Linked DNA regions of Saccharomyces cerevisiae S288C. The gene in region 2 interacts genetically with the main gene of each other region. Each region holds a gene or a part of one and is shown on either strand. Other genes may lie near its edges.

Region 1 (2,963 bases), on a different chromosome or scaffold from region 2:
TCAAATGCATCTGCAGGTGTACTGCCATTATATTGCAAATTTGCCAGGGTCACAATGTCGTTTGCCTCTTGGGTATCAGATTGCATTTTTTCAATACTTTTGGAAAGAATTTTCATGATATCCGTATAATCAACGGATAGGATGTCTTTGACCCAGGTAGGTAGGAATTGAGAGGGAGCAAATATTTGAAAAGTGTTATACAAGAAGGTGAGTTCATCATCAGTGATCTGACGTACGGGTTTTCCGTTTACTGTCGGAATAATACCACCGAGATTCGAGTTTTGTAAAAATTTGATGTATGTTTTAACCCAATTTGGAAAGTCATTAGGTGAGGTTAACATTGGTGGTGGTCTGACATATTTTTTAGTGGATGTCATATCAGAGTCCGCTGAGGATGAATCAGTAAATGTATTACCTGACTCAGGTGATGGAGTGCTCAGAGGCGTTCCAACTGATGATGGATACTGCGGAAACTGTGATTGTGGCCCAGGTGGAAAGTACATAGGCGACATTTGATAAGGTGTATACGGAATCATAGATGGGTGTCCGTAAAATGACCAACCAGATGGATTGGCTTGGTTTTGGGTCATCATGCACTGCTGTGGGTACGGCCCATTCTGTGGAGGTGGTACTGAAGCAGGTTGAGGAGAGGCATGATGGGGGTTCTCTGGAACAGCTGATGAAGCAGGTGTTGTTGTCTGTTGAGAGTTAGCCTTAGTGGAAGCCTTCTCACATTCTTCTGTTTTGGAAGCTGAAACGTCTAACGGATCTTGATTTGTGTGGACTTCCTTAGAAGTAACCGAAGCACAGGCGCTACCATGAGAAATGGGTGAATGTTGAGATAATTGTTGGGATTCCATTGTTGATAAAGGCTATAATATTAGGTATACAGAATATACTAGAAGTTCTCCTCAAGGATTTAGGAATCCATAAAAGGGAATCTGCAATTCTACACAATTCTATAAATATTATTATCATCGTTTTATATGTTAATATTCATTGATCCTATTACATTATCAATCCTTGCGTTTCAGCTTCCACTAATTTAGATGACTATTTCTCATCATTTGCGTCATCTTCTAACACCGTATATGATAATATACTAGTAACGTAAATACTAGTTAGTAGATGATAGTTGATTTTTATTCCAACAAGTTATATTATCAATATATTATCATATACGGTGTTAAGATGATGACATAAGTTATGAGAAGCTATCATCGAAGTTAGAGGAAGCTGAAGTGCAAGAATTGTTTCATATGTGATTTATGAACATTTAGCATGATTTATTGTCATATTGAGGTATGGTATGTCGATGATAAAACAAATCCAACAATTGTGAGCGCAAGTGGTTTAGTGGTAAAATCCAACGTTGCCATCGTTGGGCCCCCGGTTCGATTCCGGGCTTGCGCACTTTTTTAGCAACTATTAGCGATCAATATGAAGGGTTTAGAGACTAGGTGCCTGCCTCGCCTACTCAGCATTCGTTCAGTCAATATTTTATATCACCGTTAATAATGATTAAGCAGTTTTTTTTGTTAATAAATCCGGTCATCGGGCTAACTAATCTTCAAGAACAACTAGACGGTCATCCCCTTTTGCTTCATAACTTCTCCTTATAATATAAAAACTTACAAAACGACCATGATATTCAATCTACCTGTTAGTGTGCTGCTTTATTTTTCTTTGATATGGGCAATGGAGCCTAGTTTCGTAAGAGGTAAGAACGTCGTCAACTTAATTACTTTCAAAGATTCAAATGGCAAGCTGCACAAGCGGTTAGCACCAGAGGAAATACCGCCCCGGCTACATAATTCTCAAGTAAATTCTTATCCATTAGGATATAAGGGAATGCGTGACTTTTCAAGACCCGCAGTGAATTTAGATGATATTTTAGGGACACAGCAAAGAAAGCAGCAAGAGTTTTTGGCTGAATTGTCTCCTTTATCCTTAGAATCAAAGTTGTCATTAGTGAACGAGGTCCAAATATTTGCAAGCTATGTGCGAAATGATGTTGAAACATATAACAAAGTAAGTGACCCCAACGAAGATTTGATTATTATTGCACCAACGAACAGGGCTGTCTCTCAGCTTACTTTAAAACCGTGGCAATTTCCGAATAATATTGATAAGCTTGAAAGTGATGGTGCCACCGAGAAGGAACTTGATACGGCAATACAAGAGAATATCTCCAAATTTGTGAGATCTCATATTGTAGTGTACAATGATGATAAAAATTCCTACAAGAAGGTGAGTCCAGGATGTACGCTCCTGCAGAGTATTGACTTCACAGAAAGCAAGAAAAGCGATTCGGAAACTGGTGGTGATATTTTACTCAAAAAAGAAGGAGAAGTATATTATGTAGCTTCCTCCAGAGACGAGAAATTTCATGCCGTCGAGAGCATTGAAAATGGAAGCAATGGTGTTATTTTGATGGTTGATTTCACCCTGGTGGGTCCTTAGTTATGTGTTGCTTATGGTTTTGACTTCCTTGACCCCATACAAATTGCGTTCTTTATTTTTTTTGGTTATAATTTATTAATAATGGCGAGTAGGATCGGCCTATCTTTATGGAGTTTACAACATAATATATACATTGGTATCAATTTGTTTTATAGTTATATTTTCTCTAGTATGTGAACGATAATTTTGTTTTACGAATCCTTATATTAATGCTTAGCTGGGGCCGGTGGAATAAGAATACAACTATGAAAATATTACAACAATACCTTCGAACATATATATACACCACTTAGAAAATTGATGGTACGGTGCCTGAGATCGCTGCTGGTGAGGTCATATAAATAGAGGATGCGTTTTTGTTATCAAGAGAATTCTCCCTCTCCGATAACACGTCCTGCGTATCCACTAGCGGTTGCTCCACTTTCTTATTGAATGAGTTGGATTCACCCCCAAGTAGACCTACTTTAAACAGCTTTCTTGCTTTTAATTTTCTTTCTCTA
Region 2 (3,108 bases):
AGATATGTAATGCGTAAACCCGAACTGAACAATTCGTTTGACCAAAAGGGGCTTTCCTACAAACAAGCAGGGCAATAGGAGCAAGGCAAATGGATCAAGGTGATGCTTATGCATAATTTATACGATGGAATCCTTTGTAATGCTCCGTACTACGGTTTACCACCAACCGGCTTTTGGGTTGTAATATTGACAGATTCACCATGTTCTCAATGGTTCTGTCACAATTCGAAAGTTCTATTACTCGCAAATTCGAAAGCAGATGTTTTAAGAGACGAGGTGAAGTAAAAAAGAAGAAAAATGATTGCCATACTCCTCAATGCTTGCATGTAATATAATATAATATAATTACTGTTTCATTTTCTTTTATATTATACAATGGATATTCTACATAACCGTAACCTATATCGTTTTTAATGATTGCAAGGAAAAGTTGATTTTGTAGATAATCTTATAATGTAGTGACTTATTTAATTGTTTGATTAGAGGTAGTAATATTGCAATCAAACTGATCTAGTGAGTTTCCCGCTCCTTTTTAATTCCAAAGCTTTCTTGTAGGGAGGGTTCGTCGGGCTTTGAACAGGATCTAAGGACGATGAAGTGCCTGCAACCGAAGAAGGTAGGTCATGATAAGTGGCATCTGAGTCGAAACTTTGAAGACTTCCACAAGCCATAAATTCGGCTATGTTTCTCTCCTCTTCATTCCAATGAGACAATTTGTCTGATATACACAATTTATTCAAAAAACAGCCTTGAAAAAATTCATCAACGGATGTATTTACATCTAATTTTGGTGTCCAATTGGATGGTGGGTTATAGCCTAAACAAACAATAAAAGCTTCCAGAGATGTACCTCTTGATGATCTTGGCTTTGCGCAAACGATTTTATCGAATAGATAGCCCAATTGGGAATATAGCATATCTATATCACGACCTCTGAAGATCTTTGCCACAAAAGTTCCACCTTTTTTCAGAATGCATGCAGTAAGTTGCAGCGCACTCATAATTAACTGTTGTTGCACGTATTCGTCAAGATCGTGTAACCCAGTAACATCAGGTGCACCATCACTACAAACAAAATCGGCCTTTTCGTTGCCAAACAGTTTTAGAATCCTCGCCAATGTTTTAGGATGAGTGATATCGGCTTGCAACGTTGTCACATGAGGTATGGGGGACATCGGTTGTAAATCGACAGAGACAATTTTCCTGTCCTCCTTATCTGAACTGGGACTTTCATCAAACAGTTTTCTCGAGAGCACTTGTGACCATGAACCTGGTGCTGCACACAAATCTACAACTCTTTTTAAGTTTGGATCATCCAGGAAATGAAATTGGTCATTGAGTTGAAGTAGTTTGAAAGCAGATCTAGCCCTATAGCCCTGCTCTTTTGCTTTTCTATAGTACAAATCTCTTTTATCTTTGCTGCTCTTACCCATCTTGAATACTTTCTTTTTAAGCTTGCCTTGTACTCATCTACTGTTGTTTTACAGTAATGTTAGGAGCATCGCTTGAAAATTTTCAACTCGCGATAATTATTGTTAGCGCAGAATAATAATACCTAGTAAAAAGTTTATCGTTGCTTTTACTTCATCATGATAATCAAAATACTTGTAGGTCTGTCTTCTGTGAAAGAAGACGTAGTTACCTATTCTACTTAGGTTTGGTGTCTTTATATAATATAAAAGAAAGATATTAACCGTACATACCCCAATCTTCTTCCAGTTCTGCTTCAGTTGTATCAATCTCATTAATGATTCGGTGGCCCATAACATTATCTCTGCATAATGGACATGTTGTACTTCGAGATAGCCAGACAGACAAACACTCTAAGTCGAACTTATGATGGCAATGAGGTAATTCAACTACTAAGGGGTACTCATCTTCTAAATAATTAGTGTAACAAATGGAGCAGTTGTCAGTTGCTTTGAGCTTTTTTTTATTGATTCGTGGTAAAGAGGCTGCAAAAGTATCAGGACAGCCCGCACTCTTGCCTTTATCCATTTCTTGCAACCATTCTTCCTGTAATGATTCTGGAAGCATTTGCGATAATAATCGTAAAAGTAGTGTTGAATCTGAATGTGCATCACCCTCACCACTGGTGTTACCAAAGTTTTGAAATAGACCTTGCAGTTGGGATCTGACCTGTCTTCTCTGCTCCTCCTGTGAAGTTCCTCCTACTTCTTGGTAATCCCTTGAGTTTTGTTGTATTCCATGTTCCTCTAATCTAATGATGAGTGCAGATTAAAATTCGGTTAGTTAATTGGCTTTGGGGAACTTACTTCATAATATATCATTACATACCTTCATATGTAGACATTTTTTTGATTGTGATTATGTTTGATGAATATATCTTTCTATTATTTCTTTAGTAGTTTAGGAGTGGCAAAACTGGTATTATAACGAACTGAGCGCTCCTCGGTGCAAACAAAAGCCGCCCACAACAATTTTGACCAACTTAGGCAAAATGAAGCCATTACTAGAAAACGAAGAGTATATATCATCACAGTAATTCGGGTAGGAGAGTTGGTCACCAAAATGGGACTCATATGGAAGGCAAAAATTTCGAGCTTATTCATCATGGTTGTACCCGTAAAGTTTTTGTTTCCGATATATAGAGTACAGATGTTTTCTAGTTAACAGTTGGCATATCTTACATTTTCCGGATTATGTATCAAATAAACTTTATCTATGAATAGTTAGAGTACCACAGTAGAATCGAAGTTGCGCCTTTATCATTAACTAACAATTTTTTTGTGGGAACCGAACTATTATGTCTCCTGGAACAAATCTTTTGACTTTTAACCCGGAGCAAATTGCGAATCCTTGTCAAATTTTGAACTTCATCATAGCGGATAAGATCCTTATGAATCACTTCATCTAATCGCTCTCGTTTTTCTCGGTATGCTCCAGTTATTTCAATTGGGATGTTGTTATCAAAGAAAACTGGTTTTTCCATGAACATAGTCAGGAAAAGTTCGTCACCAAATTGGCTTTTTATAATCAAAAACGATTTACAGATATCACGAATTTCTCTACTCACAGATTTAGTATTATCTCGAGCAGTGAAGCTTCTCATAATTGAAATATTTCCAGGCGCGTATTGTCTGCCAT
Region 3 (3,466 bases), on a different chromosome or scaffold from region 2:
CCATTTCTACTTTCTCATCCGAATATGCTTTTTCATCGCCTTCTGGTACTGATATTTCATCCCTGAGAGCGATGCGATCAGAGTCTTTCTCTGGCTGGGTTTGATGGGGAGTTCGTGGAACTTCAATGCGTTCTTCATGTATATCTTCATTCGAATTCATCTGTTAGTGTGTTTATATTTGTTTTCTTGCCGCTATAATCATAAGAGTATATACATGCAGTACTAGTGCAATTGTTGTATATTCTCGTTAAGTGCTTTTCTTTGCCTATGGATAAAGTACATATATGGCTTATTTTCTGCCGAATTTTCATGAAGTTTTTATGCGAAGAGAATGCAAATATAACGATAAAAATAGAATGTATTAACTATAGAGACAATGAAAACAAGCACAAATATATATATATATATATATATATATATATGAACACACAACGTGCGTCCATGTGCAAGAACAAGTAAAGTAACCTTCTTGGTAATAGCGCGATGAAACAACGTCTTTGCTAGACCAATTCATAAGTATCATAGGATGCATCTGATAAAATAGGTGAAAAAGCGCTCCTAGAGGGAAACGAGGGCTCCTTAACAAAAGACCATACGCTTCCTGAATTGTCAACATTAACCAGAGCATTCAAATTTGTACCTTCTAGACTGATATCGGGAGACGTATCTGCGTAAATAACACCCGTAGCAATATTCAGACCTGCAATTAGTTTTTCTGTTTCCACCACAGTTGAGTTTGGAAAATGTATTCGAATCTTATTTCGATGAAAAGTTATCGGCAATGATCCATAATTCTGCAAGATCATGTCAACACTACTGTATATTGATTTTAATTCGTATTTGTAATTTCTAATCATTTCATCCAAATCCGCTAACAAAGAAGGATCTAAAAATGACAAAGGTGCGGAGAATGTCCCATTAACGTTAAATTCTGAAATGGTAAATTCAATATAGGAACCTGGTTTTTCCATGTAATATGCGCTTGTTTCATCAACGACTTCATTCTGGGTCTTCATTATCTTAAATAGTTCTAAATTACGAATGAAATTGATATCCTTTTGAGATAACTTCTTAAGGGCAACTGGTTGGACGTGATCCTGTTTAGAGGTAACATTAGACGCATTCTGATAAGCTTTGCAGGAATTAGAGTGGGAGCACTGATTTAATCCGCCTAGTGAGTTGAAAAAACACCTCAAAGATATAGTCATGTTATTCACGGCTTCTTGGGTAAATTTGATACTGGAAGTCGAATAAGCTCTCTGCCCTAATAATCTCTTTGATGTAGTCATATTCCAGTTGGTAAAAAGGCCCCTTGGGGCTCCTTTGGGCACTCTGGGAAAAGAAGCAAATTTACTGACATTGGGAACAGGTCTGAAATGGTCAAACCTTGCGATTCCTCTCCTCGTGAGAGGAGATACCGTTAAACCACTTGCCCTCCTAAAAGCTGTAGAAGCCTCAAATAGGCTCTTCCACCAAGTGACAAAAATATTGCGATTATATTGGTGGGAAAAATTCCCATGGCTCAAACTGATCAGCGTTCGGTCCAGAGACTTCGTGATCTGCCTGAGGTGGACCCGTGACATTCGCAGCCACATGCTCCAGTTATTACCACCGACAGCCATATTTCGTGTTGGTGCTCTTCTATTGTGAAAGAACCACTTTAGATCATGAAATGCGAAATGTGAAGGAAGAGAAGCTTCTCTCCACATGTCCTTTATATTTATATAGTTCAGCCGTGCGTTTCGAAGTGGATTGCCCGGCTTCGGCTGCCAGGATTTGTTTATGCTTTTGCAATGCACATATAACAAGAAACTCGAGCCTGATCTAAAAGCTGATATACGGATCAATAGAGGGCACTTAGCAGGCTGGGTGATCATTGGTGATACATTTCGGATTTGTGGCTTTACCGTTTAGTTTGTTTTTATCAGCCAGCTTGGAGTCATTGGCTAGAGGAAAGGAAAAAATACAGATTATTGTTGTATATATTTAAAAAATCATACACGTACACACAAGGCGGTAATGGTGACGAAGCCGTCACATAACTTAAGAAGGGAGCACAAATGGTTAAAGGAAACGGCGACTTTACAGGAAGACAAAGATTTCGTATTCCAGGCTATCCAAAAGCACATCGCGAACAAAAGGCCTAAGACAAATTCGCCACCAACAACGCCATCCAAAGATGAATGTGGACCAGGAACAACAAACTTTATAACCAGCATTCCTGCATCTGGACCAACGAATACTGCTACGAAACAACATGAAGTCATGCAAACTTTGTCGAACGATACAGAATGGCTCTCGTACACTGCCACATCGAATCAATATGCTGACGTACCCATGGTTGATATACCAGCCAGCACAAGTGTTGTATCGAACCCGAGGACGCCCAATGGCTCGAAAACTCACAATTTCAATACTTTTCGACCGCACATGGCTAGTTCTCTTGTCGAAAATGACAGTAGCAGAAATCTAGGTAGTAGAAATAACAATAAAAGCGTAATCGATAATTCAAGTATAGGCAAACAGCTCGAAAATGATATAAAATTAGAGGTGATCCGCCTTCAAGGCTCCCTAATTATGGCATTGAAAGAGCAATCGAAATTATTGCTACAGAAGTGTAGTATTATCGAATCCACATCATTGTCAGAGGACGCTAAAAGGCTACAGTTAAGTAGGGATATACGGCCTCAGTTATCAAATATGTCGATACGAATAGATAGTCTGGAAAAGGAGATCATAAAAGCCAAAAAAGATGGAATGTCAAAAGATCAAAGTAAAGGTCGCAGTCAAGTTTCTTCACAAGATGATAATATCATATCAAGCATTCTGCCCAGCCCCTTGGAATACAATACATCTTCCAGGAATTCAAACCTGACAAGTACTACTGCGACTACCGTCACTAAGGCATTAGCCATCACTGGTGCGAAGCAAAATATTACTAATAACACCGGTAAGAATAGCAATAATGATAGTAATAACGATGATTTGATTCAAGTCCTGGATGATGAGGATGATATAGACTGTGACCCTCCTGTAATATTGAAGGAGGGGGCTCCACATTCTCCCGCATTCCCGCATCTCCACATGACGTCAGAAGAACAAGATGAACTTACAAGAAGGAGAAATATGCGTTCAAGAGAACCAGTCAACTACAGAATACCTGATAGGGATGATCCTTTTGACTATGTTATGGGTAAATCTTTGAGGGACGATTATCCGGATGTCGAAAGAGAAGAAGATGAGTTAACAATGGAGGCAGAAGATGATGCCCATTCCAGCTACATGACTACTAGAGATGAAGAAAAAGAAGAAAACGAATTACTAAATCAAAGCGATTTTGATTTTGTGGTAAACGACGACCTAGACCCAACTCAAGACACAGATTATCATGATAATATGGATGTTAGTGCAAATATTCAGGAAAGTTCTCAAGAAGGTGACACTAGGTCCACAATTACCTTGTCGC
Region 4 (3,063 bases), on a different chromosome or scaffold from region 2:
GATATCATAGGTATTGGTGTCACGAAGTTGGATCAAGTCATATGAGATCCACGAATACTACCACAGGTGTCAATACCCCAAATGAGCCTAGTTCTTTAAATGCCACCGCTACTACAGCAGCTGATGTTTCGAATTCTACCAGTACGTTCACTCCTAATATATCCACCACCGTACCTGATGAAATAAGCAATAGGGATGAAAATAGCATACCTGAGTAAAGTACAAGGGGATTTCGATGACCTAGGTTTAACAAGATCATGAAATATTCATTAACGGAGTTTTTTGTTTTCGCTTTTTTTATTTTTTGTTCCTAATTTTTTTTTTTTTTACATTTTATTAGCTATACACTTGGCGCAAGGATATTTTATATACCGGATATAATAGATAATTAAAAGACTACTAATTAAAAATGATGTAATATGGTAATAGGTATGGAAGAATCAGGGAGTTTTCAGAATGTTCTTTGCCCTCTCTTGGGCTTTCTAGTTTTGCACTTTTACTTATTCATCTCCTGTAACCGAAACTGAAATGGGGGGGTTTGGAAAGTTGTACAAAGACATAGCTGTTTTCTTTTTTTTAAATATTGAAGGAACGCTTTCATGTATTTTTTCAAACAATGAGTGATTCTTCTCATTATATTTTTGAATGGTGGAAAAGAAGGACCATTTGAGAATCATCAGGTACATAGCAAAGAAGCTAAAATTTGGCCACAACGTATCACTAAATTCAATGGTGGCATTTTCATGTACTTGCCATAGCATATAGTCTGAGAGCCTCCTATGCCCACTTGTTCTGATTAATAATTCACATTTATTGGAATGGAAACCCATGTACATTTTATTAGTAAATTTTCTTATATTAATCCTTGGTGATTTATTTTCCAAATGGTCTTCAACTGAATCACGAATAGTATGTAACATATCATTTCTTGAAGTGTAAGGAAAACATATAAATAAAGTGAAATCGTCTCCATCCTGTGTGATTTCTTCCACTTTTTTAATTTTTTTTCTCATTTCTGGAGATAGTAAAGATTGATCACCTACTATTCTTATTTTAGATCCGTATAAGGGATCCTTATAGTCCTTGGCTCTTTTTGCGAATTCATCAAGCTTTACCGTAAACAAATTCATTAGCGTATCTACTTCTTCTTTTGGTCTATTAAAATTTTCAATAGAAAATGCATAGGCGGAAACACATTTTACACCCAATCTTTTGCAGATATACAGTAGTGTTAGTAACGTTAACCCACCAGCTTCATGGCCTTTTTTTACTGGTAGCCTTCTTGACTTGGCATATCTCCGGTTACCATCCATGATAAAGGAGACATGTTCAGGCACTGGCCCTACCCTTAATGCTTTTATCAAAATATTCTGAAGATTTACATAAAACCATGAAAACAAGCTTAATGACATAACCCACGCAAATACTCTCTGAAATATACTTTTCACTGCGAAGCACATCTGTTCTTTGGTTTCTACCAAAAGCCTTTTTAGGGCTACAAACTGAATCTGAATAATACTGGGCATTTTCATTATGGTCAACAGAAACGTCCTATGTTTGAAAGGCAGCCTGTTCTTTATAAGTTGATAAATTGAGAAAAGTGCACCAAATCTTAATCTACTCTGTGTGTATTTTTAGGTCCCTTAAATAACAGAAAAAGTATAGCTTTAGCCGCCGAGGTCCACTCAGTTTGGAGTAGTTACCCTTAACAGGCACTCACTCCGTTTTGTTCTTTCGAAGAGATACGTTATAGTATATCGGCAACAAATGATAGGCTCATTGTTAGCGTTCATTAATTATTAGATTAAAATTTATTTAAGTGTATCGTGTTTCTTTACTTTATGTACGAAGATTAATATGCATTTAAAGGTATCATCCACGGAAAAAAAATACTCCATCAGCGTTAGCGGAAGTTATTAACTACTGTACCGCAGTCTACGCAATAATAGTTTCTATCTTGTTGGTCATTAGCACCAGAAAAAGCCTCAAACCTTGAACCGTTACAAACATTGCAACGGATAGGTAAATTCATTGCGCTCGTTGGAGTGGTAGGCCCATGTGCATTGGAGAAAATAGATGACATGCTTTCCCTTGGTGTTCTTGGCTGTGCATTACTGCCGAGTGTTTTTAGTGATGTACTGCTTTTGGGACATATATTAGAGTATCCACGTCCCGTTGCATAGCCTTTTCCAGTATTAGTATACGCCGCTGCCGGTTGGCCAGCCAAGTTTGATTTCGCTCTCGAGTTGAAGCTTCGACTCAAAGAATGCAAAGAATCAGAACTGTTAAACCTTCTCCGAACCTCTCTATTGTATTCTTCTAGTTTGAGTAACACGCGCTTTCTTATAACAGAGGGCATATCTGCTCTAAACACACGAATAGTCCCTACGTTATCAGTACTGATCAATATCGTTCCAATTGCGTCAACGACATCTGGGATAGCACTGGTGGCGGAAGCATTAGAAATTGAGCCTGGTTTAGAATTGTAGCCCAAAGACGACTCTACATCTGACATTATGCCATCGTCGTTACTCCGACTCAAAACATCGAAACTATCGGATGTCTGAAAAAACTCTAGAGATAGCTCGCAGATAACATCGTTAGACAAAGATAATGTTTTCGAAGTTTCTGGCGGTGCAATGCTAACACAAGTAACAGGGGCATTGTGTGCATGAAAAGAAATGTAATCCGTATTTTTGATATAATGATCGTTGCTATGATGAGGCAAGGGAAGTAAGTTAGTAAGTTTTAAATGATGATGTGGTTTTTCTTCGTTATTCTGGCTGGAAGACCTACTCATTGATTTACTAAATATGCTTCTCAAACTTCCGGACCGAGCCAATCCCTTTGGTTTCCTTTTAGGTTCGTCTTGATCATTCTCTCTATCCGAAGACTTTAACCTCCAGCCGTAAACCCAATGGTCATCACTACTATTTACAACGATTGGCTGACCATGCCAGATGGACAATTGTGCCTTGTGTTGGGAAGATCCGCTATGGAAGCCTTTCAATACCTCTAGAAGCTTCCTCTGTTCTAAGTCAAAAATTCTTATCCTCGAATCAT

What was found.
Region 1: mutations in TRM7 (region 2) and YDR262W together harm fitness more than expected from each alone (negative genetic interaction), as found in Saccharomyces cerevisiae (one large-scale study listed by BioGRID).
Region 3: mutations in TRM7 (region 2) and SPG5 together harm fitness more than expected from each alone (negative genetic interaction), as found in Saccharomyces cerevisiae (one large-scale study listed by BioGRID).
Region 4: mutations in TRM7 (region 2) and SRT1 together harm fitness more than expected from each alone (negative genetic interaction), as found in Saccharomyces cerevisiae (one large-scale study listed by BioGRID).

Annotation. Positions count from the first base shown.
Region 1 is NC_001136.10:991,490-994,452, forward strand, and holds YDR262W (uncharacterized protein), read left to right. Parts: upstream 1-1,644; coding exon 1,645-2,463; downstream 2,464-2,963. Other genes in the region: YDR261C-C (gag protein), read right to left, coding at 1-860; exodeoxyribonuclease DIN7, read right to left, coding at 2,753-2,963.
Region 2 is NC_001134.8:364,287-367,394, forward strand, and holds TRM7 (tRNA methyltransferase TRM7), read right to left. Parts: upstream 1,434-3,108; coding exon 501-1,433; downstream 1-500. Other genes in the region: YBR062C (uncharacterized protein), read right to left, coding at 1,690-2,216, 2,299-2,314; CNM1 (Cnm1p), read right to left, coding at 2,684-3,108.
Region 3 is NC_001145.3:643,812-647,277, reverse strand, and holds SPG5 (Spg5p), read right to left. Parts: upstream 1,623-3,466; coding exon 501-1,622; downstream 1-500. Other genes in the region: GYL1 (Gyl1p), read right to left, coding at 1-160; ATP-dependent DNA helicase SGS1, read left to right, coding at 2,020-3,466. UniProt on the Saccharomyces cerevisiae protein: Required for survival at high temperature during stationary phase.
Region 4 is NC_001145.3:467,945-471,007, forward strand, and holds SRT1 (ditrans,polycis-polyprenyl diphosphate synthase), read right to left. Parts: upstream 1,533-3,063; coding exon 501-1,532; downstream 1-500. Other genes in the region: MYND-type zinc finger protein MUB1, read left to right, coding at 1-218; LAF1 (Laf1p), read right to left, coding at 1,904-3,063. UniProt on the Saccharomyces cerevisiae protein: With NUS1, forms the dehydrodolichyl diphosphate synthase (DDS) complex, an essential component of the dolichol monophosphate (Dol-P) biosynthetic machinery.